Linked DNA regions of Saccharomyces cerevisiae S288C. The protein of the gene in region 2 interacts with the protein of the main gene of each other region in a biochemical or structural test. Each region holds a gene or a part of one and is shown on either strand. Other genes may lie near its edges.

Region 1 (6,358 bases), on a different chromosome or scaffold from region 2:
TATTGTTAACTCCGCTAAAATTCATTGGAAAAAGGAATTTGCCATATTAACATCATTGGGGCTTTTGATCTGCGATAAAATGGACTGGATAAATCCACAGATGATGAAGGACCCAAAATCAGGAACTACAAACTATATAATTGATTTTAAATCAGGATTTTCTTTTGTTCCGGGAAGTACGATTGACGTGTATAACGGTTTATTTGCTGATAGGGAGCGAGATTCACTTGGGAAATCTCATTTCGCAAGTTTGGTACTTGCGTATACAGAGCATCATTCTACTGGGAGTCATACAAGCAACACAACTGCAGCAAGTAGCTCCGCCAAACACAATGAAGGAGTCTTCGAGCCATCTTCAGATGAAGAGGATAGCATAACGAATTCTACTGATGGTACGAGCAGTGTGAGTAACGGCGAGAGTGACAACGATAGTGTTTCTAGTTCAGATAATCAACTCAGTTCAAATGACAGTAATGAAGATTATCATTCCATTAAGGACGAGTATCCGATTTTCGAAGACGAAAATGCCGATTGTCTATTATACTTACATACATGTCATCGAAATTTTATCTGGAAATGTGCTAATAAGTATGAAAGGGACAACTGGATCGATTCTATCAATCTATTTTCAGCATATGACGGATGCTATGTGGAAATTGGTAGTATAGCAAACACTATTTGTAATAAGAGAAAGCTTACCATTTTGCAGAGGATGGAAAGACTTAGGTCTATAAAATCAGCCAAATGGGAGAAATTGAAAAAATTTGAAAGCACTCTGATGCTTATGGGAAAATGTGTTCCTATTAGCACAAAGACTAAGACAGATATGATAAACCGCATAAGACAGCTGGCTGTCAGAATGGACTGGTTAATCTACGAAATTAAGAGAAGCGAGCTGTTTGTAAGTATCATAAAAGAAGTGACTCGCAAGCAGGCTGAAAAGAATATCTTAGAGCATGGTAAAGGAGAAGAGGAGGGGCAAGGCAATAACGACGATAGTGATGGTATAGATGATATAGAGGAAAGCTTCTTATTCAACGAGAACAGTTTGCAAGTGTGCGTGAGCGACAGTAGTTACGACGAATATAGTAACGAATAAGGGGAAGAAAATAGTACCATGGGTTATAAATGCATGTTATTTATTTATATATTTTTACATATTCTATATGTATGTGTTATACCTTTTTCTTTTTCTCGAAATGTCTATCCAGTCTATTGCTGCCAAGGTTTAAGATCCTAGGACAGCCATCTTTATCTTTACCTAAGCGGCAGCACTCCCAACAATAGAATGCGTCATTGACTCCAACATTTAGATTACAAATTATACAATTTTTAGCTTGTTTACCAAACGAACAGTTTTCACATACTCTAACTTTCCTTTTGGGCCTTACATAAGAGTCGCAGATAGGACATTTGCCATCACATTTTTCACAAAGAAGACCTGTCTGTACACCAGGCTGCTTTAGGCACATTATTAGATCAAACTGATGGCGGGACATGTTTTTTTTGTTGGAGGCTTGTATGTGTGTGGATCTTTTTTGTATCCATCTTCATTTTCTATGTTGAATGCCTTAGTAAGTGAGAAATATGGCAAGTAATGCATATATGGAAGAACAGAAAGTGAGAAAAAAAAATAGAAAAAAAGATGCAAGGAGTTGAGCCAAGGGAGAGACCATACCCTCAGCCAAATATCCAAATATCATATAAAAAGATGGAAGAGTGTCCTATTTGTTTGGCAGATGACCAAGAGGGTGAACAATTTGGATGTTTGAACGTTTGCGGGCATAAATTCCACTTAAACTGTATAAGAGAGTGGCACAAGTATAGTATCAACTTGAAGTGCCCCATCTGCAGGGTTGAATCCACCCATTTAGAAGTTGGCGAAGGGCAACATGCACTTTCTATAAATTTGAAGATGGGGTTTATGATTAAGAATGCTATCGATTATGTGGGGGCCGAAACAACTAACGAAAGAAATGAGGACGATACAGGGGAGCAAGACCAAGAAATAGAATTTCTCAGCGAAAGGCTTAGAGGTACGCTGGTGATGGATACCATTAAGATAATTCAGTGCAGCATATGCGGAGACACAGATGTTTCTCGATTAAGCCTGTATTGCCAAGACTGCGAAGCAATATATCACGAAACATGTCTACGCGGGCTAGCTTGTGAGGTGGGCGATCGCAATACGTGGCAGGAGTGCACAGATTGTAGATCAAATGCATTGCTCGAGCTGCGCATGGGTGCTATCAGTAGCCAACTTGCTAGCTACGATTCCAGGAATTCCATGATTTTTGCTGGTGAGTTACGGGACAAGCACAGCGTCAAGACACAGCAGATGTATGAACAGATACGGAATGCCAAGCACAAAATCCAGATGCACGTGCGACGAGCACTGGACCGGTACCCACTGCCTCTGCTGCGCTTCAAGGATGCCTACAAGCACGTCAACAAGCAAGTATCCCGCAAGTTGTACCGTCTCTCTGACAACAAGTACCTGCCTGACCAGTACGATTACGACTCTTTAGCCCGAACTGGAGTGCACACAGAACTCCTAATTTACTGTCATGATGAGTAGTAATGCAATATAACATTAAAACAAGATATAAACAGTATAATACTCTAGTATGAGCCCTAAAAAAAACCCTCAGAAGCGGGTGACCCATCTCTCGTACGACGTATAAAAGCACAAGTTTGACCCATAGAATTTTTTTTTCACATCTTCCTTTGTTTGCTTCTTCGTCTTCAATAGAAAACAGTTGAACAAACTCAAATATAGCACCATTGTGAGTGCTACTGCACTACAAAGAGGCAGATTAAGCGACCAGTAGGTCCCTTGGAAGAGATAATATATGAGTTCCTTTTTTCTTTTTCCATTTTCTTTCTGTGTGACTCCCCTATGATTAAAAATTATTAATCATATACCAATTGTTCCGACTGAATAGTGGTTTAACTACATGTCGACAACCCTTTTTCGTTAAGTTTCAGCCTTGTATGAGGGGTGCCACGGAAGGGAAGAAAAGAAAGCATTTATCTTTCATTATTATCTTTTTCATGCCTGCAATGGAATTTTTAATTTTCCTTTTGATATGATGATTTGTTGTCGACCGGGCGGACATATTAGTATCTGTTAAAGGGTCGCCGTCTACTCTCATCGTTCTTTTGTGTACAAATTTTTTAAAGGAGCGATGTTGATGGCATTATGGTTCTTTAGTGGAGAATTGATGATTGGTCACAAGACATCTGATTTTTTCGGAAATTTGTTTCTTATTTCAATTTATTCCTTATCAGTTGATTTGGATGATAAAAGAGACTGTTGCGGACTAGTTTATTATGATGATTTTTTTATATTCACACTGTACTAGATTGGTCTCTTTAACGAAGGGGCTAATTGATGACTACAAAATAAAAAATAACTGATTTAATGACTCTGAAAAACTAGTTCTACAACCTAACTAATCTTGCACCCTATGTAGCCCTTTAAATAACTCTTGGTTCTCTTCCCTTTAGATCTTTCATTTTTGCACCTAATTGGTATGGCACATTTTTCAGTTTTCTCCCACTTAAGTTTTCTCCGTAAATCCCTCTTGTATAATAACCAGGAGAAAGGGTTTTGAACACATCGAAGAGCAGAACAGCAAGAGAAAAGTAGCATTAAAAGACCATAATGGCTAGCTTGAAGGTATTTCTCGCAGTTTACTTGCTTGGCGGTATCACATTTTTGCCTTTGGTCCTTTTCACCCTCTATAAAATCCATTTATTGTACAGTAACCTTAAATCGGCATCGAAGAAGGAGCTAGATCATGATACAGCAGACGAAATTGATGAGAAAACCAGACTTCTGGCTCGCGATATAGACCCAGAGTTTAAAGCACGCAAGCTAGAAGAGCAATTAGGTGTCAAAGTTTTTAACAAGGGTTGGATCACCGTCACTAAGCAATATTATTATCATTCTTCAGAAGTGGCTGTAATTTTGAAGAATTCTAATAATAATAAAGATTCAGACACTGCACTTCAAGAGCAAATCTTGCAAAGAACAGACTTGAAGAAAAAACAAAGGTTTTTTGCAGTATTAAGACATGGAAATTTGTTTTTGTATAAAGACGATTCTCAAAATGCAAATTTGGTCCATGCTATATCTTTACAAAACAGATTTATCACCATTTGGCCCCGTTTCGATGAACTGGGTAAGGAAGAATTGCCAGATGCCTCGCTTTTCACTAAGAGAACTTGTATTGCTATTTTCAAGAATGACCTCGTTTCTATAGACTCTAAAAACCATAATGTTATCCTGCCACACTTCGACCCACTTACCAGTGCTGAATCGAATAACGGTGACATCTCTACCAATGACACTACACATGAATATCAATCACAATTCCATAGCTCAAATCAGTTCTTCTTGTATTTCGATAATAACATGGACAAAGAAGATTGGTATTATCAGTTGATCAATGCCTCTAAAAACAGTAATTCCCTCTCAACTGGTTTATTGGATCCTAATGTTTCAGCTAACGCAGCTCATTTGAAGACTAAGGATATGTTACAATTGATTCAGGATATCAACTCTACTGAAAATCAGTTAACTACTAAGTGGCTGAATGCTCTTCTTGGGAGATTATTTCTTTCTCTGCAACAAACTGATACGTTGAATAAGTTTATTCATGAGAAAATCTGCAAGAAATTGAATAAAATAAAAACCCCAGGGTTCTTGGATGATTTGGTTGTTGAAAAGGTCGACGTGGGTGATAGTGCTCCATTATTCACCTCTCCTGAGTTATTAGAATTGTCTCCTGAGGGTTCGACTAAGATTGCTATCGACGTTCAATACAGGGGAAACTTGACAATTATTATTGCGACAAAGGCGAGTATTAACTTGGGATCACGTTTCAAACAAAGGGAGGTTTCTTTGCAGTTGTCCATAAAAATTAAAGAATTTTCCGGTCCACTTTTATTTTTAATCAAACCACCTCCATCTAACAGAATTTGGTATGCTTTTCGCACCGAACCTATAATGGATTTTGAAATTGAGCCCATTGTCAGTTCAAGTAAATTATCATACAACGTCGTTACTAACGCTATAAAGAGTAAGTTTGCCGAAGCCGTGAAGGAGTCCCTAGTTGTACCGTTTATGGATGATATTGTTTTTTATCCAACACCTAATGAAGTATACAGAGGTGGTATTTGGGAGGAGCAGGATCCTGAGGCAGCGGCGAGGGCTCGCACTGCTGCGGCAGCCTCAGATATGAATAATACTAGTGCTAAGGAACACTTAGAAGCACTTCAAGAGGGCGGAATGAAAACCCAGAGTCGAATCAAAAAAGCCTTAAGGCCAGAGAGAAAGAAAGAAAACCTAAAAGATCTTGTTGACGCATCTGGAGTGGCAACGAAAACTACAACCCAGACAACAGTCACAACCGCGACTAATGATGATGTTTCCAGTTCTGAAAATTCTACCAAGTCAAGGAAATACTTCAAGAATTCAATCAAGAAAATCGGTAGATGGTATAAGGATAATGTTGGTAATTCGAGTGACACCGAAGATATGGATGAAATAGATGTTCAAGATAAGAAAAATGACGATTCAGCAGATGAGAGAGAATCAGATAATCCTATCCTTACATCCAATCCAAAAATGATTTCTAATAGGAGACCAGTACCAAGAAGGCCTTCACAACCGTTAAATACACTATCTCCAAAACTAGAAGGCAGGAAGGAAAAAGACACTGAGAATTTTCCAGTTCCACCGTCGGCTTCAAATATGAATGCTTCAAAGATGTTTGCGAACAAAGAAAATAGAAAGTTTTCTGTATCCTCAAATGATTCTCAGAATTCGCTCAAAAATGGTGATCCCCATGTGAAAGCTTCAAAACTTGAAAGCTCTCAAGCTTTTGTTAAGAAGACCTCTCAGAATCGTTTTAATGACGGCTTTTTCAAGCAAGATTTAGAATTTGAAGAACAGCGAGAGCCCAAACTGTGAGTCCACGGTACTATATTAAAAATAAATAAATATCACTTGAAGCTATATGCAAAATGTTGTAACTAAATTCGTGTCAAAATATCAAGCAACTGCCCCTTTTAACTCATTATTTACATTTCTATTCTTCCATTCTTTTGAAAAGAAATAAGATGGATACATCCGTAGAATTATTATATAAAGTTCGATACAAAAGTTCACTGTTCTAACGCACAAATTACCACGGATTTTGTTCCATATCATCATTATTCGACCAAGCAGGACGTTGAGCAGTTGAAGACGGAATATTTAATTCTTTAAAATAATCATCATTACCTACATTGAACGCGTTGCTCTCGGGTTCGACTGTTTCGTTAATATCTATACTTTCCCCTACCCCTT
Region 2 (5,734 bases):
ACTTTGCTATACCATTTTCCAGTGAAAGTTGCTTGCTGATTCCTAAAAACTTCCAAGTATAAGGCATTCCATCCAAAGGAAGTACGTTGATACCTATAGACAATCAAATCAACCATGCAGTCGACCAGATCATCCCACTATGGTTGTTGTCTATTTCATATCGGTGTCGGCATTTTTTTTTCCCGTAGTACCACTGGATCTGCCTAAATCGCGCTTCAGGAAAACCAGGGACCACCCTATTTTTTTATATTTCATCATCTAAATTAAGTGTATACATATATGGATAAAGTCATTTTGAGTTTACATAATCGTATGTTCGAGAGAGGTCTTTCATAAAAAAATCAAGTTATCAACCAGCATGGGATTTTGGGAGAACAACAAAGATTCCATCACTTCAGGGCTGAAGAGCGCCGGTAAATATGGTTACCAAGGAACAAAGTACGTTGCCAAGACAGGGTATAAGGCAAGTAAGAAGCACTATAACAACAGCAAAGCGCGTAGGGAAAGGAAGAGTGGTAAGAAAAATTCAAGTGATGAGGAGTATGATAGCGAAGATGAGATGGAGTACGAAAGAAAGCCGACCGATATAAGAAGTTTAAAAGACCCAAAGTCCTTTCCTCCCCCACCTTTGAAACCTGGACAAAAAACTTATACAGGACAACAGCAACAGCAAATGCCAAATGGTCAGGCCAGTTATGCTTTTCAGGGTGCATACCAAGGCCAACCTGGCGCAGGATCGACGGAACAGTCACAATACGCACAACCACAGTATAATCAGTATCCACAACAGCAGCTGCAACAAGGTGTAATGCCACAGCAACAGCAGCTGCAACAAGGTGTAGTGCCACAGCAGCCGCCTATATATGGAGAGCAAGTACCACCGTATGGGTCAAATTCTAATGCAACCAGCTACCAGTCGCTGCCGCAACAAAATCAACCCCAAAATGCAATTCCAAGTCAGGTATCTCTGAACTCTGCTTCTCAGCAAAGCACAGGGTTTGTCTCGCAAAATCTGCAATATGGTACCCAATCAAGTAATCCGGCACCATCACCGTCTTTCCAGAACGGTCTTCAGTGTCATCAGCAGCCGCAATACGTATCACATGGCTCAACCAATCTCGGACAATCCCAATTTCCATCGGGCCAACAGCAGCAGCCCACGACACAGTTTGGCCAGCAAGTTTTACCATCACCTGCACAACCACAACAGCAACAACAAGGGCAACCATTACCGCCCCCGCGCGGTCAAGTGATCTTGCCAGCGCCCGGAGAGCCTCTGTCAAATGGCTTTGGGCAACAGCAACAGCAACAGCAACAGCAACAGCAGCCTCTGAACCAAAACAACGCTTTGTTGCCACAAATGAACGTGGAAGGAGTTTCTGGGATGGCTGCGGTTCAGCCTGTCTATGGCCAAGCCATGTCAAGTACTACAAACATGCAAGATTCGAACCCCAGCTATGGAGCTTCACCCATGCAAGGTCAGCCTCCAGTCGGTGGACAACCGCCTGTGCCTGTAAGAATGCAGCCACAGCCACCGCAACCAATGCAACAGGGAAACATCTATCCGATTGAGCCTTCTCTTGATTCTACTGGCTCAACCCCACATTTTGAAGTTACTCCATTTGACCCAGACGCACCTGCTCCGAAGCCCAAAATCGATATTCCCACTGTAGACGTTAGTAGCCTTCCACCACCTCCCACTCATAGGGATAGAGGAGCAGTTGTACACCAGGAACCTGCGCCAAGTGGGAAAATACAGCCTAACACAACCTCTTCGGCGGCTTCATTGCCAGCAAAGCATTCAAGAACTACTACTGCAGACAATGAAAGGAACTCTGGAAACAAAGAAAACGATGAAAGTACCTCCAAGTCGTCCATTTTAGGACATTATGATGTAGATGTCAACATCATGCCACCTCCAAAACCTTTCAGACATGGACTTGATTCTGTACCTTCTGAGCACACCACGAAGAACGCACCAGAACGGGCAGTGCCAATTCTACCTCCTCGGAACAATGTTGAGCCTCCTCCTCCCCCATCACGAGGCAATTTTGAGAGGACAGAGTCGGTGCTGTCAACGAATGCCGCTAATGTACAGGAGGATCCCATTTCTAATTTTTTACCTCCACCGAAGCCATTTAGACATACTGAAACTAAACAAAATCAGAATAGTAAAGCATCACCTGTAGAAATGAAGGGTGAAGTTTTGCCAGGGCACCCCTCTGAGGAAGATAGAAACGTTGAACCATCGTTGGTACCTCAATCGAAACCGCAATCGCAATCTCAATTCAGAAGAGCTCATATGGAGACACAGCCTATTCAAAACTTCCAGCCACCACCAAAACCATTTAGGCGTTCACAATCGTCCAATTCTAGTGATAGTTCTTATACTATCGACGGACCTGAGGCAAATCATGGGCGTGGGCGTGGGCGTATAGCTAAGCACCATGATGGTGATGAATACAACCCCAAGAGTGAGAATTCTACAGAAAACGGTCGTTTGGGTGATGCCCCCAACAGCTTTATTAGAAAAAGAGCGCCAACCCCTCCGGCCCCATCCAGATCTGAGAAGTTACATGAGGGTACTATAACATCCGAAGTTGATAGTTCAAAAGATGCTAATAAATATGAAAAGTCAATACCTCCTGTAACTTCGTCTATTCAAGCGCAACAGTCTACGAAGAAGGCGCCTCCTCCTGTTGTAAAGCCAAAACCTAGAAATTTTTCTTTAAAGGCCAATGAATATCCCAAGGAACTTACTAGGGAAGCAACTGGACAAGATGAAGTTTTAAACTCCATTACCAATGAGTTGTCGCATATCAAATTAAGAAAAACAAACGTTAATTTGGAAAAGTTAGGCGGTTCGAAAAAAGTGAAGGACTCTAGCCCTGTTCCCTCAGATCTAGATGAAAAATATGTGTCTGCATCGGGGTCTATTACTCCACCAAGGCCTCCACCTTCTAGGTCTAGTCCAAAGAAAGTGCCGCCTGTTGTCCCAAAAAAGAATGATAACCTGAAGAAAAAGCCACCAGTGGTCCCAAAGAAAAAGCCATTACTAAAATCGCTCGAACCAAGACCTATTGAAATGGAGAGGGCCTATTCGGGAGATATTTCTGCTGCTGACGATAACTTAAATCCTTTTGAAAGATACAAACGAAATGTTGTTCCTCAAGAAGATGACAGACTGCATAAATTAAAATAATGAAATAGCTACGCAACATTGAACTTAATACTGGCTAAATTTAGTTATCCGCCTTGGTAAACAATCCGTATCCTTTATTTAAACTGTCTTCTCAGGAACATTACTTATCTACATAAATAACATTAACCCTGTCTACGTACAGTATATATTTGCGTGTGGTTGTCAAACTTTAGATGAAACGATACTCAACGAATACTATAAAACCAGAATGGTAAGGGTAAGATAGCGGGAGCAAAAAATCACAAGGATGCACCTATTTAGATAACAAAGCAGCGAATTGTTGAATGTTGATCTCGCCTGATCCATCACTAACCTCTCTTAGCATATCATCTACTTCGGCATCAGTCAATTTTTCACCAATGGATGTTAGCACGTGTTTCAACTCAGCGGCGGAGATTAAACCATCACCGTTCTTATCGAATACTTTAAAAGCTTCTAGTAGTTCTTGTTCAGAGTCATTTGATTTGAGTTGACGAGACATCAGAGCCAAAAATTCACTAAATTCGATTTGATGGTTACCATCAACATCTATTTCGTTCATCAAATCATTTACTTCTGCTTCACTGGGCGAAAGACCCAATGACCTCATCACAGTGGCCAATTCACTTGATGAGATAGAGCCATTGTTATCTTTATCAAAGAGGGCAAAGGCTTCTTTGAATTCAGCAATTTGTTCTTCGGTAAGATTGGAGGACATTGTACTTTTTTATTTGTATTAACTAAGCTCTTTCTTTGTAGTTCGATAGTTTCCGGTCAAGAATAAGATTTCTATCCAGTCAGAGTACCCTTGTGAGTTAACAAGATCTCTTGTTAAACACCTTCTTACGCGGGCAATAAAAAATTCTAAGAATAAAGTCATATCACAGTACACGAAAATATAAATACATCTTGAAAATGTCTCAAATTGGGTGGAAAAGAGGGTGCTTGAATTCATTAGGACATATGGTTGATGTTCTCAGGTTCTACTTATGTTTGCTTTGTCGATTTTTGCATGCTTTGACTGTGACTTTCCTGTCTGATATCTTTGTATGGCTTGTTGCTAAAACAAGGTCAATCCAAGCAGTGATCATCTTGCACGTTGCTTCAATAGAACGCGCATATAGCAATCATCAAGTTAATTGGTCATATATCTTTCAATCAGCAATTAGCAAAGCCATTAGAGGGTAATTGTAACGGCATTTTAGGGGCTATAGTCAATTGGTGAAAATGTTTTTGGAAATTCCTCGGTGGTTACTTGCCTTAATAATATTATACCTTTCCATACCGTTAGTGGTTTATTATGTTATACCCTACTTGTTTTATGGCAACAAGTCGACCAAAAAAAGGATCATCATATTTGTGCTGGGTGATGTAGGACACTCTCCAAGGATATGCTATCACGCTATAAGTTTCAGTAAGTTAGGTTGGCAAGTCGAGCTATGCGGTTATGTGGAGGACACTCTACCCAAAATTATTTCCAGTGATCCAAATATCACCGTCCATCATATGTCAAACTTGAAAAGAAAGGGAGGCGGAACATCAGTTATATTTATGGTAAAGAAGGTGCTTTTTCAAGTTTTAAGTATTTTCAAATTACTTTGGGAATTGAGAGGAAGCGATTACATACTAGTTCAAAATCCACCGAGCATACCCATTCTTCCGATTGCTGTGCTATACAAGTTGACCGGTTGTAAACTAATTATTGATTGGCACAATCTAGCATATTCGATATTGCAACTAAAATTTAAAGGAAACTTTTACCATCCTTTAGTGTTGATATCTTACATGGTAGAGATGATATTCAGCAAATTTGCTGATTATAACTTGACTGTTACTGAAGCAATGAGGAAATATTTAATTCAAAGCTTTCACTTGAATCCAAAGAGATGTGCTGTTCTCTACGACCGCCCGGCTTCCCAATTTCAACCTTTGGCAGGTGACATTTCTCGTCAAAAAGCCCTAACTACCAAAGCCTTTATAAAGAATTATATTCGCGATGATTTTGATACAGAAAAAGGCGATAAAATTATTGTGACTTCAACATCATTCACCCCTGATGAAGATATTGGTATTTTATTAGGTGCCCTAAAGATTTACGAAAACTCTTATGTCAAATTTGATTCAAGTTTGCCTAAGATCTTGTGTTTTATAACGGGTAAAGGACCACTAAAGGAGAAATATATGAAGCAAGTAGAAGAATATGACTGGAAGCGCTGTCAAATCGAATTTGTGTGGTTGTCAGCAGAGGATTACCCAAAGTTATTACAATTATGCGATTACGGAGTTTCCCTGCATACTTCAAGTTCAGGGTTGGACCTGCCAATGAAAATTTTAGATATGTTTGGCTCAGGTCTTCCTGTTATTGCAATGAACTATCCAGTGCTTGACGAATTAGTACAACACAATGTAAATGGGTTAAAATTTGTTGATAGAAGGGAGCTTCATGAATCTCTGATTTTTGCTATGAAAGATGCTGATTTATACCAAAAATTGAAGAAAAATGTAACGCAGGAAGCTGAGAACAGATGGCAATCAAATTGGGAACGAACAATG
Region 3 (9,191 bases), on a different chromosome or scaffold from region 2:
TGATGTTGGTAACGGCACATGATATGCCAATATTCGCACCAACCTGCAACTTGATGACAATATCACACCAACCTTTACCATCCCATCTCGTGAGGAAATCGTCGTCACTCCATATTGCCGCATCTACAATACACGTTAAATTCATTGTAAGAAGCCATGTTATCAAAATGATTGCTGGAATATTCTTGGTATGTGAATGCCATGCTAAAGGGGGAGCTAATAGTATCACAGCTAGCAAACAAAGCCCTATTATTGCTGACTTGTATGACATGAAAATTTTGATAGTATTTTGCCTTTCCTACACAAATTTAATTGCCTCTAAAGTTAAAAAGCAATAAAATAGAATATGTGAATACTGCACAAAATGAATACTTGGGAATTCAGAAATTATTCTTACCTTAAGCATCCACTCATATACATATATATATATATATATGTCTTTTCAAAAGACTTCTGCCCAAATTGTGGAGAGAACTCTGCCTCTCCGTGATAACGGCCAAATGAAACGCATCCAATGATGCAATTATTGACAAAGTTTCAAAGTTTCCGCCATTATTCCTTCATTTACACATTGATAGTCGAGAAGTTTCCTAATTAGTGTCACAATGACAGAGAAAATTGTACCAGCGCTTCTAACGAAAATTAGCACCCATACCCAGAGTTCATAAATCTGGCAATGTGGTACAATAATATAGGATTGGTAACATTTCAATTGTAAAATGTTTAACGTTTAGAGAAAAGGGGAGCCAGAACGCTTCTGGTGGTGTAAATACGGAGAAGTCACCTTAAATAGTTTTGTTCTGATAATTGCATTTTTTTGGAAAGATTTGGCTGCTTAAAAGATTCAAGCAATCAAGAGAAACATTACAAGGCCTGCTTGGCCGGTCTACTAGGCTGAAATAATAAGTTTCTGATTATGGTTATCACGGTAAATGATTACGAAAGGGTAAAGCAACGAATGGTTGTTTTATGGTAAGAATACTTTGGCGAATCAACAAATTGAAGTTGCGCAATGTGCGATTCGCTTATGTATCAAAAAAAACTAAAAAATGAATAGAGAAAATCATATATATAAAAGAAAAAAATATCGTACACCTCTTAGGTAACTTGGAATATATTAAACATGTAAAGAAGGAGAAAACATTAACCTGCATTACAATAATGAACAAGAGATGAAAAAATCCGTAAAGCTTCTGAATCGCGAAGCTCACTATCTATTCCATTATCATCATATAACATCATTGCACTCTTTATACTATTTTCAACAAAATTAACGCAGTTTTCCAAACTAGTACTTAGCTTGCCAATCTTGCCACAGGAAAAGATTTTTCTGGTCTTCTGTTTCAACACGTACTTCCTTTTTCCGACAAAATTCTCATCATAGATATTCTGGTTGCTGTTATTGTTGTTATTGCCAGTAAACTCTCTTTTCAATGCGACATCCCTAATGTCCCTTGAACGTAACGATACTAATAGACTTCTTGTGTAATCCGCCTTTAACAGGTCAATCTTCATAGAATTTGTTATTCTGCTCTCTGATTCTTGACCAGCAGGACATGCTTGCAACTGGAAAAAATTGTTAAAATGGGTTAAATACATTGTATATTTCGGCAATAGTTCCAGAGGTTTATTCATCAAGCCATCATCAATATCAGAATCAGTAGTCAAAATATCCGCATAAGAAGAGTTACCTGGAAAAATTTCGTAAGTGGAATTAAGGTCAGCCAAAGAGGGCTGACATATTCTTTCAAAAGCCTCATCCAAAAGATCATCCTGAGAGATCCTTTGGCAATCTCTTTTCAACTCAACGTTCTTTAGTGGAAATTTATATGATATATTCTTAACCAATGGGGGTGCGTGAGACACATCTCCAACATTAGGAGAGCCAGGTGTGCCCATCCAAGGATACTCATCATATTCGCTGATAGACGGTGATTGTTGCGGAGTGGTTAGTGATAACCTGGAGGTTGCTTGCTGCAAAGAAGACGAACTTGAAGTCCTTTGCATATTTCCAGCAGTTGTTTGCAGCCTCTCCCACGACTCGTTGTGTTTTAAAGAAGGGCTTGGTTGAAAGAACTGAGAAATTGTTGGCCTTTTGTTGAACCAAGAACCGTACGAACCAGGTTGGCTTGAGATAGAAGACGATAGATAATGCAATGAACTACTCCCACTTTTGAAGGAAGATGGCTGAATAACTTCCGCTAAAGACTCACTAGAAGACACAGATACTGAAGTGTTCGAGTTCCTCCGATTGGGTATTTGCCATCCTTTCCTCAAAGAATGGAAATTGGGTGATCCAATGCTGTTAGAGCTCACATTACTGTTGTTGTAATTATGATTGCTATTATTTTCTGTGCGACTCAAAAGGTTGTCTGTTGAAGTCAGTGTGCTCAATTCCGTCTCAGGCTTATCGACAAAATTATTGTTAGACTTATTTCTTGATACAGCGGACGAATCCGATCTTATGTTTTCCCGCCGTATCGTTATTTGTCCCTTGTACTTTGGCTCCAATAAAGCCGATAAGATGAACAGTAACTTGTTAGCAACCACCATGTTTCCTGACAGGATTACGATCTTGGATGTCTTTAGTTCTCTTATAGTGTGCCTGTAATCAGATATAATCATTGCCATTAGGAGAGGAAGGAAGCCTAGTTTCGGTCCATCTTTGATTTCAATCCAATTAAATATACTTTTGAACCAAACGTGAACGAATTCTTTAAATGTCTCAGGGTAAAGGAAAAGCCTAGGAATCTCAGACATAGAACGTAAACCTGGTATGACTCTTTTTTGTAAAGTTTGCACCATTATTTCAATTTCCTTGGGATAATGCGTCCTGATGTCAATATTTGACAATTTTATGACTGAATTATTGCTGTAATTGCCAGTATTTTCTTGCATAATACGGTTTTTAGTCAAGAAACCAATGAGCATTTTTTGAGTCTGGGTCAACCATGATGAAATGGAAGACCACGACTCTGCAACTACGGGCAACAATATCCTCGGTATGCATAAGCTAATTGCGATGCGGTTGTATTGGTGTGTGTAATAGAAAATTCTAGTTATGAGTACCAAATCCGAGTTAGGAATCGTCCTTATCTTGTCGCACTGCGTCAAATCGGAAGATCTTACGGGAGAACCAAATATATATTCCTTCAATTCACTCGGCCGTATCTGCTCCATCGAATTTGAAATCTTTGACGTAGTGTAATCGAAGATATCACGGTAGTTGTTCCTACACGCCATTTGACCCGCTTCCTCAATGATCAAAATCCTGAATGCATACGTTTTTTCGTTAATAGACGTGATTTTATCAGTACCAAGACCTCCGTTGTTTTGTAACGTATCGATAGGACGACTATAAGGAATATCCCTCGAGCCGAAAAGCTTCAGTTTTAAGTCATCCGATATATGATCTAAAATGGGCGGAGAAGTCGTTGATAGCATTTCCGAAGGCTTTTCCACATTGACTGCAGTATCTAAAAGAGCTCCAGCAGCGGTCTTAGTAGTTCCTGTGCTTGCCGCTTTGCAGTATACAGGGACATTGGGAACTACGGAGGAAAAATCGGAATGCTCTGAGCTCTTCTCAAAACCAGACGAACTCGTCTTATTTCTCAGTAAATTACCCAACATATAAACTCTCCCTCTTCACCTTCTCTACAAGGCCACACACAAGACAGTTTTAACAGGCAAATGGTACTGGAGGCTCTCACCAATGGGGTTTAAGACGCTCCAAACACACGCTCTCCTTTTTTTCTTTATATATCGGTAGCAACGAAAGCTAGTCGCAGAACGTTACACACTAAAGCAGATCAATCAATCAATCCTGAGAACCTGCTTCGTTCAAACCATCCACTAGAAGAAACACGCACGTGTACCCAAAAATAGAGACAAACAAACAGACAAAAATAACAATGATTCCTACCGACTAAAGTAAAACAACACTCACGTAATAAAAAATCCTAGATACAACTCACTTGTATTCCTCTCTTCTTTGACCATCACTAAAGCTTCTCTCTTACTATATTCCTCAAATAAAAAAAAGTTGCAATGATTACTTACCAATGTGCCATAAACTCCGTGCACCACACTAGCCTTCGATTTGACACATCTCTAAGCTGAAACTGAGAATACTGTTGTAAAACAGGTATTGGCTGCTTCATAGTACACCCAATTGCCCACAACCCAAGTTAATCATAAGCTCTTGTTGTCGATGAATTGCTCAAAATGTGGCCATTCTTTCAATTTTGCACCTCTAAAACTGCTCCGTGGGTTGTGACAACAACCTTAAGGGTAATGGACTTTTTTAGAAAGACAAATGAGATGATTTCACCTACTGGTATATCATTTATTTATACACGACCGTTTTGACATTTCAGAGTTGCACGTTGGTATATCCTAATATTCTCACAAGCATCACAGTGAAGAAACGCAAGAAAATGGAAAAAATTCCCAGGTGGTTGTTGTTTTCTCTTATATCGTCGGTGCTGTGCATACTTGGGGCCCTGTGTGTGCCGTTGTTATCGGTTGCCTTCGATAGCAAGCGCAATAGCCAATCTAAGTTGGTCAACTATGGTCTTTCTCTAAGTGCCGGATCTATGATCACTACTTCACTATACATGCTATTGCCTCGGATCGAAAAATCAAACCGGTTCAAGGTTTTTCCTGGATTGCTTTTGGGTATTTGCCTCAGTTTTTTCTTAAACTACCTAGTCCACGCTTTCGCCAGCGAATCGTTGGTACACTGTGCTGATAGCGGTGACCATGCTACAGGTTCACATATACACTCCAAATCACATTCGCATTCGCACTCACACTCACATGCGGATTCGCATTCGAATTTTAGCAACGATCATGATTTAGAAAATGCTCCCTCTGAGCATGGTTATGCAACATCTTCTTCCAGTGTTTCTGAAAATGACCCGTTGATTACAAAGGATAGCGATAGACCCCAAATGAAAAAGAAAATGTCCCTAATTGACTTATTAACCAGAAGGAAATCAGAAGGCGAGTGTTGTGACCTAAACAAGTGCACTCCGCTCTTGCAATCAGAGCAGCCAGAATATATTGCATGTGTCCCACCAGTGATAAAGTCTTCTCAAAGTGAAAGAAACGTGCCACATGGATGCGAGGGATCAGAAGATAATGGACAATCCGATGACAAGGATCATCGTGGCCTTGTATGCGTGGAAAATAATATCGGTTACGATCTTGAAAACCTATCGTTGTACCGTAAGAATTTTCTTTCGAGCCGCCATCATCATTCCTCTGAATCGCCCGAAAATTATGGTTCCAACCAGTTGTCGCACTCTTTTTCGTCACCTTTGGGAAATGATGTAACTGAGAATCCGGCCGCATTGGCAGACACACAATACCATCCCGAAAATGGTTCATTATACCCCCACCATCATCACTTAGAGACCCCTTTTTCCAAATTACTGTCTATTGGTATGCAAACTTGTCTAGTCCTTGCATTACACAAATTTCCCGAAGGGTTTATTATTTTTTACACTAACAGGTCAGATTCGTCAAAGTCCTTGGGATTTTCCATTTTTTTAAGTTTGACGATCCATAATTTTGTCGAAGGATTTGCAATGACGTTACCATTCTACACTGTTTTCGAATCTAAATGGGTTGCCATTTTGATTACTGCCGTTCTCGGTGGTGGATCTCAACCATTAGGTGCATTGATAGGTTATTTCATCTTTAAAGGTAGTACTCCAAGGGATCACGAACCCAACATGGATTTTTTACTGAGCGTTACTGCAGGGTTCCTATTAGTAATTGGTTTACAAATGTTCCAAACTGGTATCGGATTTAGCGATGGACATCATCATCATCAAGGAGAAGGTGATGAAGAAATGAAACAGTCCCATAGCTCAGGCACAACTTGCTTGAAATGGTGCTGCACTGGCGTTTTGCTAATTCTAGCGAGTGCCCTTTTCACTTGATAAATTAAAACTACGTATATTCTTTCTATATAAGTCTTTTCCCATTAAATAACGGTGTATAATCACGATCATATATCATATATCATATCTACGATCATCGGCAAGATCAAATTCTTGTTCTGCTGTATGGTGCTCATCACCATAATCGGTTATCACGTTTTCCTCATTTTCCTCAAAGGGATTTTCTGTACTACTTTTAGGATGCACCTTGATGAAACCTTCTTCAGAATTATTTTCTACAGACTCTTTCACTGTGGTTCCCGAGTTTAGAGTATGTTCAACATTGCTATCCTCTAGTTCAAAAACAGTTTCTTCCGCATCACTGGGAATTGGAGCCTTGATGTCATCTGCCAAGGGTAATCTAAAATTATACTTCCCCCATTTGAAATAAAGACCAGTGATAACTAAAATGCAGAATACGTACACCATTAAAGCATAATTCATTGTTTTGAAAGTTACAGGCACTTGCGTTGGTAGGCAAACAGAAACCATAGATAACAAGAGCCACACAATAGAAACAATGTTGATGAACCAACCAAACTTATACCTGATTTTTACTGGCGCGCTTCGGATAGCTCTTCTTCTCGTAAACAGCACCAAGACTAACGGAATGAAAGTCGCAGAACAAAGACAGAGCACTGCAGCGCCTATAAAAGCATTAAATGCGGCCGTTGAAATCAAAGCTAGCAGACCTAAAAAGTATGATATTATCATACTCAATACAACAGAATTCTTGGGGACTTTTGACTGAGAATCCGGTTCGACGTAGGTCCATTTATCGTAGTATGGTATAGCCTGGTCACGACTAAAACTATATACCGCACGAGAAGATGTAGTAATCGAGCCAATTCCGGAAAACAGTAAGTTTCCTAAAATTAGGAGCACTAAAAAAAAAGACAAGACCACCGAATCAGTCGATTTTGTAAAAATGTTCACTATTGGTAGAACCTTATGATTGGTAAAAAGCAAATCATTATCTGGCAGGATTAACATTATTGGTATAAGAAAAATGACTCCAGAGAACGCGGATAACAATACCGCATTCGACATACCACGTGGAATATCCTTCTCAGGAACTTTGACTTCGTCAGCTAAAGCAGGTAACATACTGAAACCTTGTAACGTGAAATTAGACTGTTGGAATCCAATGATGAAGGAAAGAAATGCGCTTTTATACCCTGATAGATTATTATCAAAGTGAAATAGCGCGTACTTCAAAGATCGAAATTTACCTTTGTGGAATACTAGTAGAAGAATATCAATAAATATAATGGCATATATGATCCAATAAACACAGACTTTGTTTATTGTTTCAATAAATCTTGCAAATTTCAAATTCACGAGGCCTACAACAGTCACAACTAAGTAAAATACAATGACTGTGTAAAAAATCAAGTGTGCCTCGGATATTAGGTTGGAGTTCGTCATCAGAATCAAAGAAATGGTAAGTTGAGCGCCTGCAAAAGTAATACTGGTACTCATAGTCCAATTCCCTATGAGCATTAACCAGCCAGTGTACCACGAACATACTAATTTCAATTTCTCCGGGGCCAACATGGCACTCCCAACATGCAGTTCCATCGGAAATTTTGAAACAATCTCACCAAGAGAAAGCGACGAAAACCATATACACACTCCACTGATTAAAAAACCTAGCATTATAGTTAACGGACCACCATTAATTAGCCCAATGGCCATACTAGTGCACATTCCTAAAACGGGACTCATTAGTCCTAAACCGAGACCGACAATAGAACCTCTTGACAATAACGATTTATCCAACACCTGATCATAATTGAAATGCTCGGCCTCCTCGTTCTCTTGACTGTCATCTTCATGAACAATGGTGTGCAAGTTATCAAACAAACCATTCGGATCGAAATGAACGATATTCTCCCTTATATTATCAGCCAGTAGCGTATACTCTGGCATTTTTCATTTATTTGACTTATTTTTATTTATTTTATTGTACAATGGCAAACAAATACACGGACTGGTATGTTCTTCGTCAAATTGATGATCTGTTCTTTTGGCTTATCCTTATGGGATGATTAATGATTGTTAAAGCCTCATTGCGGAAATTTTAATGCCGGAAAGGCCTGAAAAATTTCAAAGTGGCAGAAAACAAGGCTTTGGGGCATTACTTGCCAACGGCTGACGATTGCTAGCTGCTTTTACAGAAGCGATACACAATAGCTCCTAACATAGCAAAATGGAAGGTGACGATTTATTCGATGAGTTTGGAAATTTGATCGGAGTTGATCCTTTTGACTCGGATGAAGAAGAAAGTGTGCTGGATGAGCAAGAACAATATCAAACCAATACGTTTGAGGGGAGCGGCAACAACAATGAGATTGAGAGCAGACAACTTACCTCGTTAGGAAGTAAAAAGGAACTTGGAATTTCCTTAGAGCACCCTTATGGTAAGGAAGTGGAAGTATTAATGGAAACTAAGAACACACAGTCACCACAGACTCCACTGGTAGAGCCGGTTACAGAACGAACAAAGTTGCAAGAGCATACAATTTTTACACAATTAAAAAAAAACATTCCGAAGACTAGATATAATCGAGACTATATGTTATCAATGGCTAACATTCCGGAGAGGATAATAAATGTTGGTGTCATTGGACCTCTTCACTCAGGTAAGACCTCTTTGATGGATCTCCTAGTAATCGACTCACACAAACGCATACCAGATATGTCTAAGAATGTAGAACTTGGATGGAAACCGCTAAGATACCTGGATAATTTGAAACAAGAGATTGACCGGGGTCTTTCCATTAAACTTAATGGTTCCACTCTACTCTGCACCGATTTAGAATCCAAGTCTAGAATGATAAACTTTTTGGATGCACCAGGGCATGTTAATTTTATGGATGAAACGGCAGTCGCACTTGCAGCAAGTGATTTGGTTTTAATCGTGATAGATGTTGTAGAAGGTGTTACATTTGTGGTAGAGCAATTGATAAAACAAAGTATTAAAAATAATGTAGCAATGTGTTTTGTTATAAATAAACTCGACAGATTGATTCTAGATTTAAAGTTGCCACCAATGGACGCATACTTGAAGTTAAATCATATAATTGCAAATATCAATTCCTTTACGAAGGGAAACGTGTTTTCACCAATAGACAATAACATAATATTTGCGTCTACAAAGCTGGGCTTCACATTCACTATCAAGGAATTTGTTTCTTATTATTACGCCCACTCCATACCTTCTTCTAAGATAGACGACTT
Region 4 (8,764 bases), on a different chromosome or scaffold from region 2:
AAAAACTACGACAACAACAACTACAACAACAGAAGTTTGAAGCTGCTGCTTCATATTTAGCCAACGCTACCAAATTAATGCAAGAATCAAATCAAGATAGCCATTTATCTGGCACCCACAACAATAATAGTAGTAAAAACGGTAACAATAACCTCATGACGATGAAAGCCTCCATAAGCTCTCCCAATACTAGCGTAAATAGTATCCAATCTCCCCCTAGTGTCAACAGCGTCAATGGCTCCGGGCAAGGTGTATCTACCGGTATTAATGTCTCTGGCAATAACGGGAGAATTGAAGTAGGTATTGGAAATTCTGTGAACCCCTACAATGGCAGAATAAATTAATTGAATCATGCACGTTATCCAGCATGTTCACGAAGTGAGTAATAAAAAATTATTCGCCGAAGTAACATGTACACGTCTATGTTTGTGGACAAGTTACGCTATTTGCATTTAGAGATTTCTTCTCCAATGTAAATTATTTTTTCTTCGGGGGGTATACATTATTTATTTAAGTAGACATTATATTTCTTCATAAGGGTAGGAGAGAGCGAATACAAATGCCCAGTAAATTCCCCATAAGTAGTTCTTAAAATATAATACCATAAAAGTGGCCATAAATAGGAAGGGCCATGGATTATTGGGTAGAATTTTTATAAATGCCATATGCAAAATAAAATTAGAGAATGAAATACCGAATATTTCCCAAGGATAATACTTTTTTTCTTTCCATATGACTTTCTCGACGTTTTCTTCAAATGACTGAGTCATTGCTTCCCTAGAAAAGTATTTCTTGACTCTTAGCGGGCCATTCCTCTCAAAGTTCACAGAACCGTTCTGCAAGATCTTTCTGCTTTCATCAATTGCAGTAGCCCATTGAATAGGGACGGCAGGTTTTAGCCACCCAGTGGCAGAACTTTCATTTTCACCAGCAACGTAAGATTTGATAGTCTCCAAAGGACCTCCATTGTTTACTGCTAGTACAGGCTTACCTAATTTCATGGCTTCTAAAGGAACAATACCAAAGTGCTCATATGCTGGTGTATACAATAACATTTCGGTTCTTTCGAGCAGTAATTCTTTCAGAGATGATGAAATGGAAGTTAAAAATATAATTTTACTATTATTGGTTTTGAATGACTCTAAATCGGAGACGCGCTTTATTTCTTGGTAGTATATGGTTGTATGGGATAATTCGTATTCATCGGCCAGAGACTGTAGTTCCTTCAAGTACTCCACATTTTCTGCAACCCTCTCGTCATAACCACCGCAAATAACTAACTTAACGTTGTCATTGATTTGATCTTCAGATAACGCAAAAGCCTTTATAGCCAGCGCAACATCCTTTTTTTTCTCAAAACGATTTATACTTAGGTAAAATCTATCGCCTTCGTTAAACACTGTTTTGAAAAATTTCTTGTCAATATCTTCAATTTCGATTGTTGATAAATCCACGCATGGATAAATGACGTCTGGATCATTGGATAAATACTTGAACGTTTGGTGGAACGTATTCTTAGTGAAATTTGAATTTACCACAACAGTATCGGCAGCACTCACGGAAAACTGTTCTATTAAGTCAAATGGTAGTCTGTATATTTTCTTCAATAGCCCAGCTCTTTGAGCCAATAATTGGTCGGGGAAATGACAATAAAACATCAAAGTGGCAGAACTAAAGATATGCAGAAGCGGAATACATGTAGACAGTTGATCAATGATAATTAATTGGTACGCATTCACTTTTTTCTGTAGGATCAATTGAATAACTAAATAAAGCTGTCTAATTGTTGCGAAAACAATAAAAAAACGACCCAAAAAGTTTGTCGGTAAAAAATCACCATAAACTTCGACTTTTAATTGGCCGTTTTTAACTTCTTCGAAACAATGTGATTTATCACAGTGACTAGTATAGATGATTACACTATGTCCTTGTTGCTGTAGACCTAATGCTGCATCGACGACTAACCTTTCAGCGCCCCCAATACCTAGGTCTGGATGAATAAAAGCAATCGTTCTTTTATCCTTTTCAATCATTTTTGCTTGTCTAATCGACTCTTTTTTATCTGTCTTTACTACTGTATCTATTTCGTGACTTCTTAAATGGCGAACGTAATCTTTTGATGTTAAAATGAATACATCATTTATTTTGTTGTTCGCGCGTTCATCTAGCCAGGCACTTGTTTATAAAAAAAGAAGCTATACGCAAGGCTCTCGATCTATAAATTGTATCTGTGATTGTGACCCTTTCGTATATATGTTATAATATTTACAAGAATATACATTTATCATGATAATCTCTGGTGCTTTTTGATGATCTTTGGAAGAGCTTTAGCCCAAGATTTTGTTTTACTGTCAGTTAGCATAAATACGCGGCCGCCCTGTTTCATTCTAGCAGTTCTGCCCACTCGGTGTATCAGGTCTATTGACGTTTTGGGTACATCGTAGAGAACAACATTCCGTACACCTTTGAAATTGAGCCCTCTTGCCATGAGGTCGGTGGTTACGAGTACATGCAAAGACTTGTTACTGGGTGCGGTACCATTAGAATTTGTGTTTTTCAATTTGCCGATGACGATGTTGGAATCAGGAATTTCAAATTTCTTCAAGGAAGTGGGAGGTGAAGTACTCTGAGCAACCACCTCCGAAAGTGGTCGCGGTGGTGATAAAAAGGGCATAATTTTCTCGGATCTTTCTTCAAATGTATCTTCACCAGTTAAACCGATGGCATTATGACCGAATTTCTTATTCAATAGGTTAACAATTTCAGGAACATTCTTTTTTTCGTTAACAAAGATAATGCATCTTTTCTCGAACCCTGGTTCCGTGTCATCATTTGAAATAGCATATAAAGTTTGTGCCAATGCTTTGATCTTGGATCCCTTGAAAGGACTTAAGGCAGAATTTATAACTTTAAAGTCCAAAGCGAATGGTAACTTATGCAGTCTGGGTGTCATTATAGGAACCACTGTAGGAAATAGTCTTTGCATTGTTTTATTAAACTCTTGAGGAATAGTAGCGGAACAGAAAATAAGGTGATTAATGTTAGGAATTCTCTTTATTGCGGAGTGCGTTTCTTCAAGCCATGACCTATCTAGAAGTGTGTCAGCTTCATCTAGTACTACGAAACCCACTTTGGACAAGACTTTATCAGGTCTAGTTATCATTCTTATGGAGAACAGGTTCAGTAGTTTTCCCGGAGTAGTGACTAAAATATCTATTCTATTTTTAATGTTCTCTAATAAATCACGATATGATGTGGCCTTGTCCCACTTGAAAGAGTTTAAGCCTAACAAGGTTTTCGTCTTGGAAACAGTTTCGTATACTTGGTCAACCAATTCATGCGTAGGCACCAGTATGATGGACCGAATCAGAACGTTTTTTCTTAATGTTTCCCATAATTCGGGAGTTTCCAACTCCTGTCTTTTCAAATAGTCTATTAAAGGTATCAAGTAGGCCATGGTCTTACCTGAACCTGTCTCAGCGGCAATCGCATGTATTTGTAACTTTGGATCCATTAAATTTTTGGATATTCTCTTAATGGCCACTGTTTGAATGGGACTCGGTATTATATTTTCACTGGTTTTTTTCCTACTATCTTGTAGCTTCAGGGACTCTTTGGAAATGATTTCTTTCACAGCGTCTCTGACAGGTGGAAGTATAAGCAATTGGTCGAAATTCGATATTTTTTGAATGAGTTTATTCGTACTGTCCATATTCATCTCGACGTCTTTTTTCAATCCACCATACTCTCCAAAGTTGAATGCTTGGTCAGGGTCATTCTTTTTGTTACCTTTTTTGCCTTTGGCCTTCTGTTTTCGGTTTTTATTACTACTGCCTGTAGGCACTGAAGCTAATGGAGAGTTTCCTTTATGCTTTGTTCTTGGGCCTCCCGCATAAGAACGCACTCCTATCTTGAGAAGCACGGGGAAAGACCACTGTGGTGAAATTACTGGCTTGAAAAAAAGCGACATTTGTCTTATTATACTTTAATCTGATCTGAAGAAGTATTTCTACTCATCACTAATATCTATTCCGCTATTATTATAGTTGTAATTTATGATTCCGTGGTAAGTGATTTGAACTTTTGCTTCCTTTCGAAAATTTCAAGAATATGGTTTGGTTGTGCTGTGCAAGAGCGGTTGTATTGCGAAATAGAACCCATCGAGAAAAGAAAATGAAAAAGACGGCATTAAAGACTAGCTCTGTTTTAAGACAAATATTTACAGGCCAGAGAATAAAGAGATACTCGTATGTATGAATTGTAGCCCCTTACACACATATGTATATATATCGATGTGAACATAGCATTTATTAACAGTTCTGCTCAGTACAAATGGTAGTAGTACTAGTGATGAGGTTACTCCGACACCGTTAACAGCGGTAGTAAAGAGAAGGCCGAGTAAACATAAGGTCGTTATGCTCTTAGGTTACTGTGGCAGCGGATACTATGGAATGCAATACAACCCACCACACAAGACGATTGAAGGTGAGATTCTCACCAAGCTCTTCGACGTAGGAGCCATTTCCGAAGAAAATTCATTGGCACCGAAGAAAAATTCCTTTATGGCAGCGGCAAGAACAGACAAGGGTGTACACGCTATGTTGAATCTACTGTCGCTAAAGATCACATTGCGAGAGGACACAGTAGCGAAGTTAAACGCCGCACTACCGCCCGAAATACGCGTGTGGGGTATCCAGCCTGTCAATAAAAAGTTTAATGCTAGATCCGCGTGCGATTCTCGATGGTACCAATACCTTATCCCAGAATTTATACTCATTGGTCCACCCCGGAGTTCTCTTTTGCATCGAAACGTGGGGGGATGCTACCGCGAAGACGGCTCGCAAGAGGTGTGGGATACGTTCCTGGAACAGACGCGTGGGAGATTTAGCGGGGATGAGCTGTGCCGTTTGCAGGACACTGCACAGAAACTAAGCGAGAGCGATCCTTTGGTACAAGACTACGTGGGGCTATTGAGCGGTACCCTTAGCGGCTACTGCTTGTCGCCCTCGAAGCTGGACGCGTTTGAGGCAGCCATGCAGGAGTACGTGGGAACGCATAATTTTCACAACTTTACCACAGGAAAGCTTTGGGGGGATCCTAGTGCTCAGCGCCATATCAAAAAGGTTGTAGTGTCGCAGGCCTCACCGGGATGGATATGTGTGCGGATCCACGGGCAGTCGTTTATGTTGCATCAGATTCGACGAATGGTAGCGCTTGCCGTACTTGCAGCCCGTTGCCAATTGCCGCCTAATATTGTACGTAACTATTTTAACGCCGGGCCTAGGAAATACATTCCGAGGGCGCCCGCACAAGGCCTATTATTAGAGGGACCTGTGTTTGACGGGTATAACACTAAGTTGCGCAATTTGCTGTATTGCGAAATCCGCCCGGACGATATCACTCTTGAGCGCATGTGCCGTTTCCGAGAACGCCAGATCTGTACTGCGATCGCACACGAGGAGACACAGCGTCACGTGTTTTGCCATTTTGTACGACAAATGAACCGCCTGGCCACGCCTCTAATCTAGCCGCCCAATGTCGCGGGTTGACCCGCGACATTGGGCGGGCAATACTCTCATCTTATTGGCTATTCAACTTAGACAAGCGCCAGTTGCGCGCACAAATTTGGTCATGACCGCTCCACCGGCATGCGTGTCGTCATCCCGCATCATTCGGGACATTTTGGCCTTTTCCGCAGTGCGTAGTTGACGTGGGGAGAAAGCTAGTGGGCTGTCGCATATGGTTGGTTTTAGGTGGCGAAAGTTTCGCCGCGATAGCAATCATGTCCTCGACCTTAATCTCAATGGAATGGGTCATGCTCGGTAAGTGAGTCTCGCTGTATATAAGTATATATGTAATCGCCTAGTTCGATAGATACAAGGAGGTCTTGAGTATGTAGATAAACGAAAAGAAGATAACAAAAGGAAAATCTCAGCCTCTCCCCTTCCTCTTAGACAATGTCGCAAAGAAAATTCGCCGGCTTGAGAGATAACTTCAATCTCTTGGGTGAAAAGAACAAAATATTGGTGGCTAATAGAGGAGAAATTCCAATCAGAATTTTTCGTACCGCTCATGAACTGTCTATGCAGACGGTAGCTATATATTCTCATGAAGATCGTCTTTCAACGCACAAACAAAAGGCTGACGAAGCATACGTCATAGGTGAAGTAGGCCAATATACCCCCGTCGGCGCTTATTTGGCCATTGACGAAATCATTTCCATTGCCCAAAAACACCAGGTAGATTTCATCCATCCAGGTTATGGGTTCTTGTCTGAAAATTCGGAATTTGCCGACAAAGTAGTGAAGGCCGGTATCACTTGGATTGGCCCTCCAGCTGAAGTTATTGACTCCGTGGGTGATAAGGTCTCAGCTAGAAACCTGGCAGCAAAAGCTAATGTGCCCACCGTTCCTGGTACACCAGGTCCTATAGAAACTGTAGAGGAAGCACTTGACTTCGTCAATGAATACGGCTACCCGGTGATCATTAAGGCCGCCTTTGGTGGTGGTGGTAGAGGTATGAGAGTCGTTAGAGAAGGTGACGACGTGGCAGATGCCTTTCAACGTGCTACCTCCGAAGCCCGTACTGCCTTCGGTAATGGTACCTGCTTTGTGGAAAGATTCTTGGACAAGCCAAAGCATATTGAAGTTCAATTGTTGGCCGATAACCACGGAAACGTGGTTCATCTTTTCGAAAGAGACTGTTCCGTGCAGAGAAGACACCAAAAGGTTGTCGAAGTGGCCCCAGCAAAGACTTTACCCCGTGAAGTCCGTGACGCCATTTTGACAGATGCAGTTAAATTGGCCAAAGAGTGTGGCTACAGAAATGCGGGTACTGCTGAATTCTTGGTTGATAACCAAAATAGACACTATTTCATTGAAATTAATCCAAGAATCCAAGTGGAACATACCATCACAGAAGAAATTACCGGTATAGATATTGTGGCGGCTCAGATCCAAATTGCGGCAGGTGCCTCTCTACCCCAGCTGGGCCTATTCCAGGACAAAATTACGACTCGTGGCTTTGCCATTCAGTGCCGTATTACCACGGAAGACCCTGCTAAGAACTTCCAACCAGATACCGGTAGAATAGAAGTGTACCGTTCTGCAGGTGGTAATGGTGTTAGACTGGATGGTGGTAACGCCTATGCAGGAACAATAATCTCACCTCATTACGACTCAATGCTGGTCAAATGCTCATGCTCCGGTTCCACCTACGAAATCGTTCGTAGAAAAATGATTCGTGCATTAATCGAGTTCAGAATTAGAGGTGTCAAGACCAACATTCCCTTCCTATTGACTCTTTTGACCAATCCAGTATTTATTGAGGGTACATACTGGACGACTTTTATTGACGACACCCCACAACTGTTCCAAATGGTTTCATCACAAAACAGAGCCCAAAAACTTTTACATTACCTCGCCGACGTGGCAGTCAATGGTTCATCTATCAAGGGTCAAATTGGCTTGCCAAAATTAAAATCAAATCCAAGTGTCCCCCATTTGCACGATGCTCAGGGCAATGTCATCAACGTTACAAAGTCTGCACCACCATCCGGATGGAGGCAAGTGCTACTAGAAAAGGGGCCAGCTGAATTTGCCAGACAAGTTAGACAGTTCAATGGTACTTTATTGATGGACACCACCTGGAGAGACGCTCATCAATCTCTACTTGCAACAAGAGTCAGAACCCACGATTTGGCTACAATCGCTCCAACAACCGCACATGCCCTTGCAGGTCGTTTCGCCTTAGAATGTTGGGGTGGTGCCACATTCGATGTTGCAATGAGATTTTTGCATGAGGATCCATGGGAACGTTTGAGAAAATTAAGATCTCTGGTGCCTAATATTCCATTCCAAATGTTATTGCGTGGTGCCAATGGTGTGGCTTATTCTTCATTGCCTGACAATGCTATTGACCATTTCGTCAAGCAAGCCAAGGATAATGGTGTTGATATATTTAGAGTCTTTGATGCCTTAAATGACTTGGAACAATTGAAGGTCGGTGTAGATGCTGTGAAGAAGGCAGGTGGTGTTGTAGAAGCCACTGTTTGTTTCTCTGGGGATATGCTTCAGCCAGGCAAGAAATACAATTTGGATTACTACTTGGAAATTGCTGAAAAAATTGTCCAAATGGGCACTCATATCCTGGGTATCAAAGATATGGCAGGTACCATGAAGCCAGCAGCTGCCAAACTACTGATTGGATCTTTGAGGGCTAAGTACCCTGATCTCCCAATACATGTTCACACTCACGATTCTGCAGGTACTGCTGTTGCATCAATGACTGCGTGTGCTCTGGCGGGCGCCGATGTCGTTGATGTTGCCATCAACTCAATGTCTGGTTTAACTTCACAACCATCAATCAATGCTCTGTTGGCTTCATTAGAAGGTAATATTGACACTGGTATTAACGTTGAGCATGTCCGTGAACTAGATGCATATTGGGCAGAGATGAGATTGTTATACTCTTGTTTCGAGGCTGACTTGAAGGGCCCAGATCCAGAAGTTTATCAACATGAAATCCCAGGTGGTCAATTGACAAACTTGTTGTTTCAAGCCCAACAATTGGGTCTTGGAGAACAATGGGCCGAAACAAAAAGAGCTTACAGAGAAGCCAATTATTTATTGGGTGATATTGTCAAAGTTACCCCAACTTCGAAGGTCGTTGGTGATCTGGCACAATTTATGGTCTCCAATAAATTAACTTCCGATGATGTGAGACGCCTGGCTAATTCTTTGGATTTCCCTGACTCTGTTATGGA

The links.
Region 1: the proteins of CMD1 (region 2) and ASR1 form a complex in vitro, tested with the Saccharomyces cerevisiae proteins (one study listed by BioGRID).
Region 3: the proteins of CMD1 (region 2) and ZRT3 form a complex in vitro, tested with the Saccharomyces cerevisiae proteins (one study listed by BioGRID).
Region 4: the proteins of CMD1 (region 2) and PUS2 form a complex in vitro, tested with the Saccharomyces cerevisiae proteins (one study listed by BioGRID).

Annotation. Positions count from the first base shown.
Region 1 is NC_001148.4:715,778-722,135, reverse strand, and holds ASR1 (ubiquitin-protein ligase ASR1), read left to right. Parts: upstream 1-1,711; coding exon 1,712-2,578; downstream 2,579-6,358. Other genes in the region: Arf family guanine nucleotide exchange factor SYT1, read left to right, coding at 1-1,099; U2 snRNP complex subunit RDS3, read right to left, coding at 1,176-1,499; NVJ2 (Nvj2p), read left to right, coding at 3,668-5,980; YPR089W (uncharacterized protein), read right to left, coding at 6,195-6,358.
Region 2 is NC_001134.8:454,464-460,197, forward strand, and holds CMD1 (calmodulin), read right to left. Parts: upstream 3,900-5,734; coding exon 3,456-3,899; downstream 1-3,455. Other genes in the region: IML3 (Iml3p), read right to left, coding at 1-67; AIM3 (Aim3p), read left to right, coding at 359-3,202; ALG1 (chitobiosyldiphosphodolichol beta-1,4 mannosyltransferase), read left to right, coding at 4,409-5,734.
Region 3 is NC_001143.9:114,357-123,547, forward strand, and holds ZRT3 (Zn(2+) transporter ZRT3), read left to right. Parts: upstream 1-4,436; coding exon 4,437-5,948; downstream 5,949-9,191. Other genes in the region: STE3 (Ste3p), read right to left, coding at 1-271; LST4 (Lst4p), read right to left, coding at 1,144-3,630; TPO5 (Tpo5p), read right to left, coding at 6,024-7,880; U5 snRNP GTPase SNU114, read left to right, coding at 8,161-9,191. UniProt on the Saccharomyces cerevisiae protein: Transports zinc from storage in the vacuole to the cytoplasm.
Region 4 is NC_001139.9:379,239-388,002, forward strand, and holds PUS2 (pseudouridine synthase PUS2), read left to right. Parts: upstream 1-4,415; coding exon 4,416-5,528; downstream 5,529-8,764. Other genes in the region: deubiquitination module subunit SGF73, read left to right, coding at 1-344; ALG2 (GDP-Man:Man(1)GlcNAc(2)-PP-dolichol alpha-1,3-mannosyltransferase), read right to left, coding at 522-2,033; MRH4 (ATP-dependent RNA helicase), read right to left, coding at 2,285-3,970; PYC1 (pyruvate carboxylase 1), read left to right, coding at 5,958-8,764. UniProt on the Saccharomyces cerevisiae protein: Mitochondrial-specific pseudouridine synthase catalyzing the formation of pseudouridine at positions 27 and 28 in the anticodon stem and loop of mitochondrial transfer RNAs.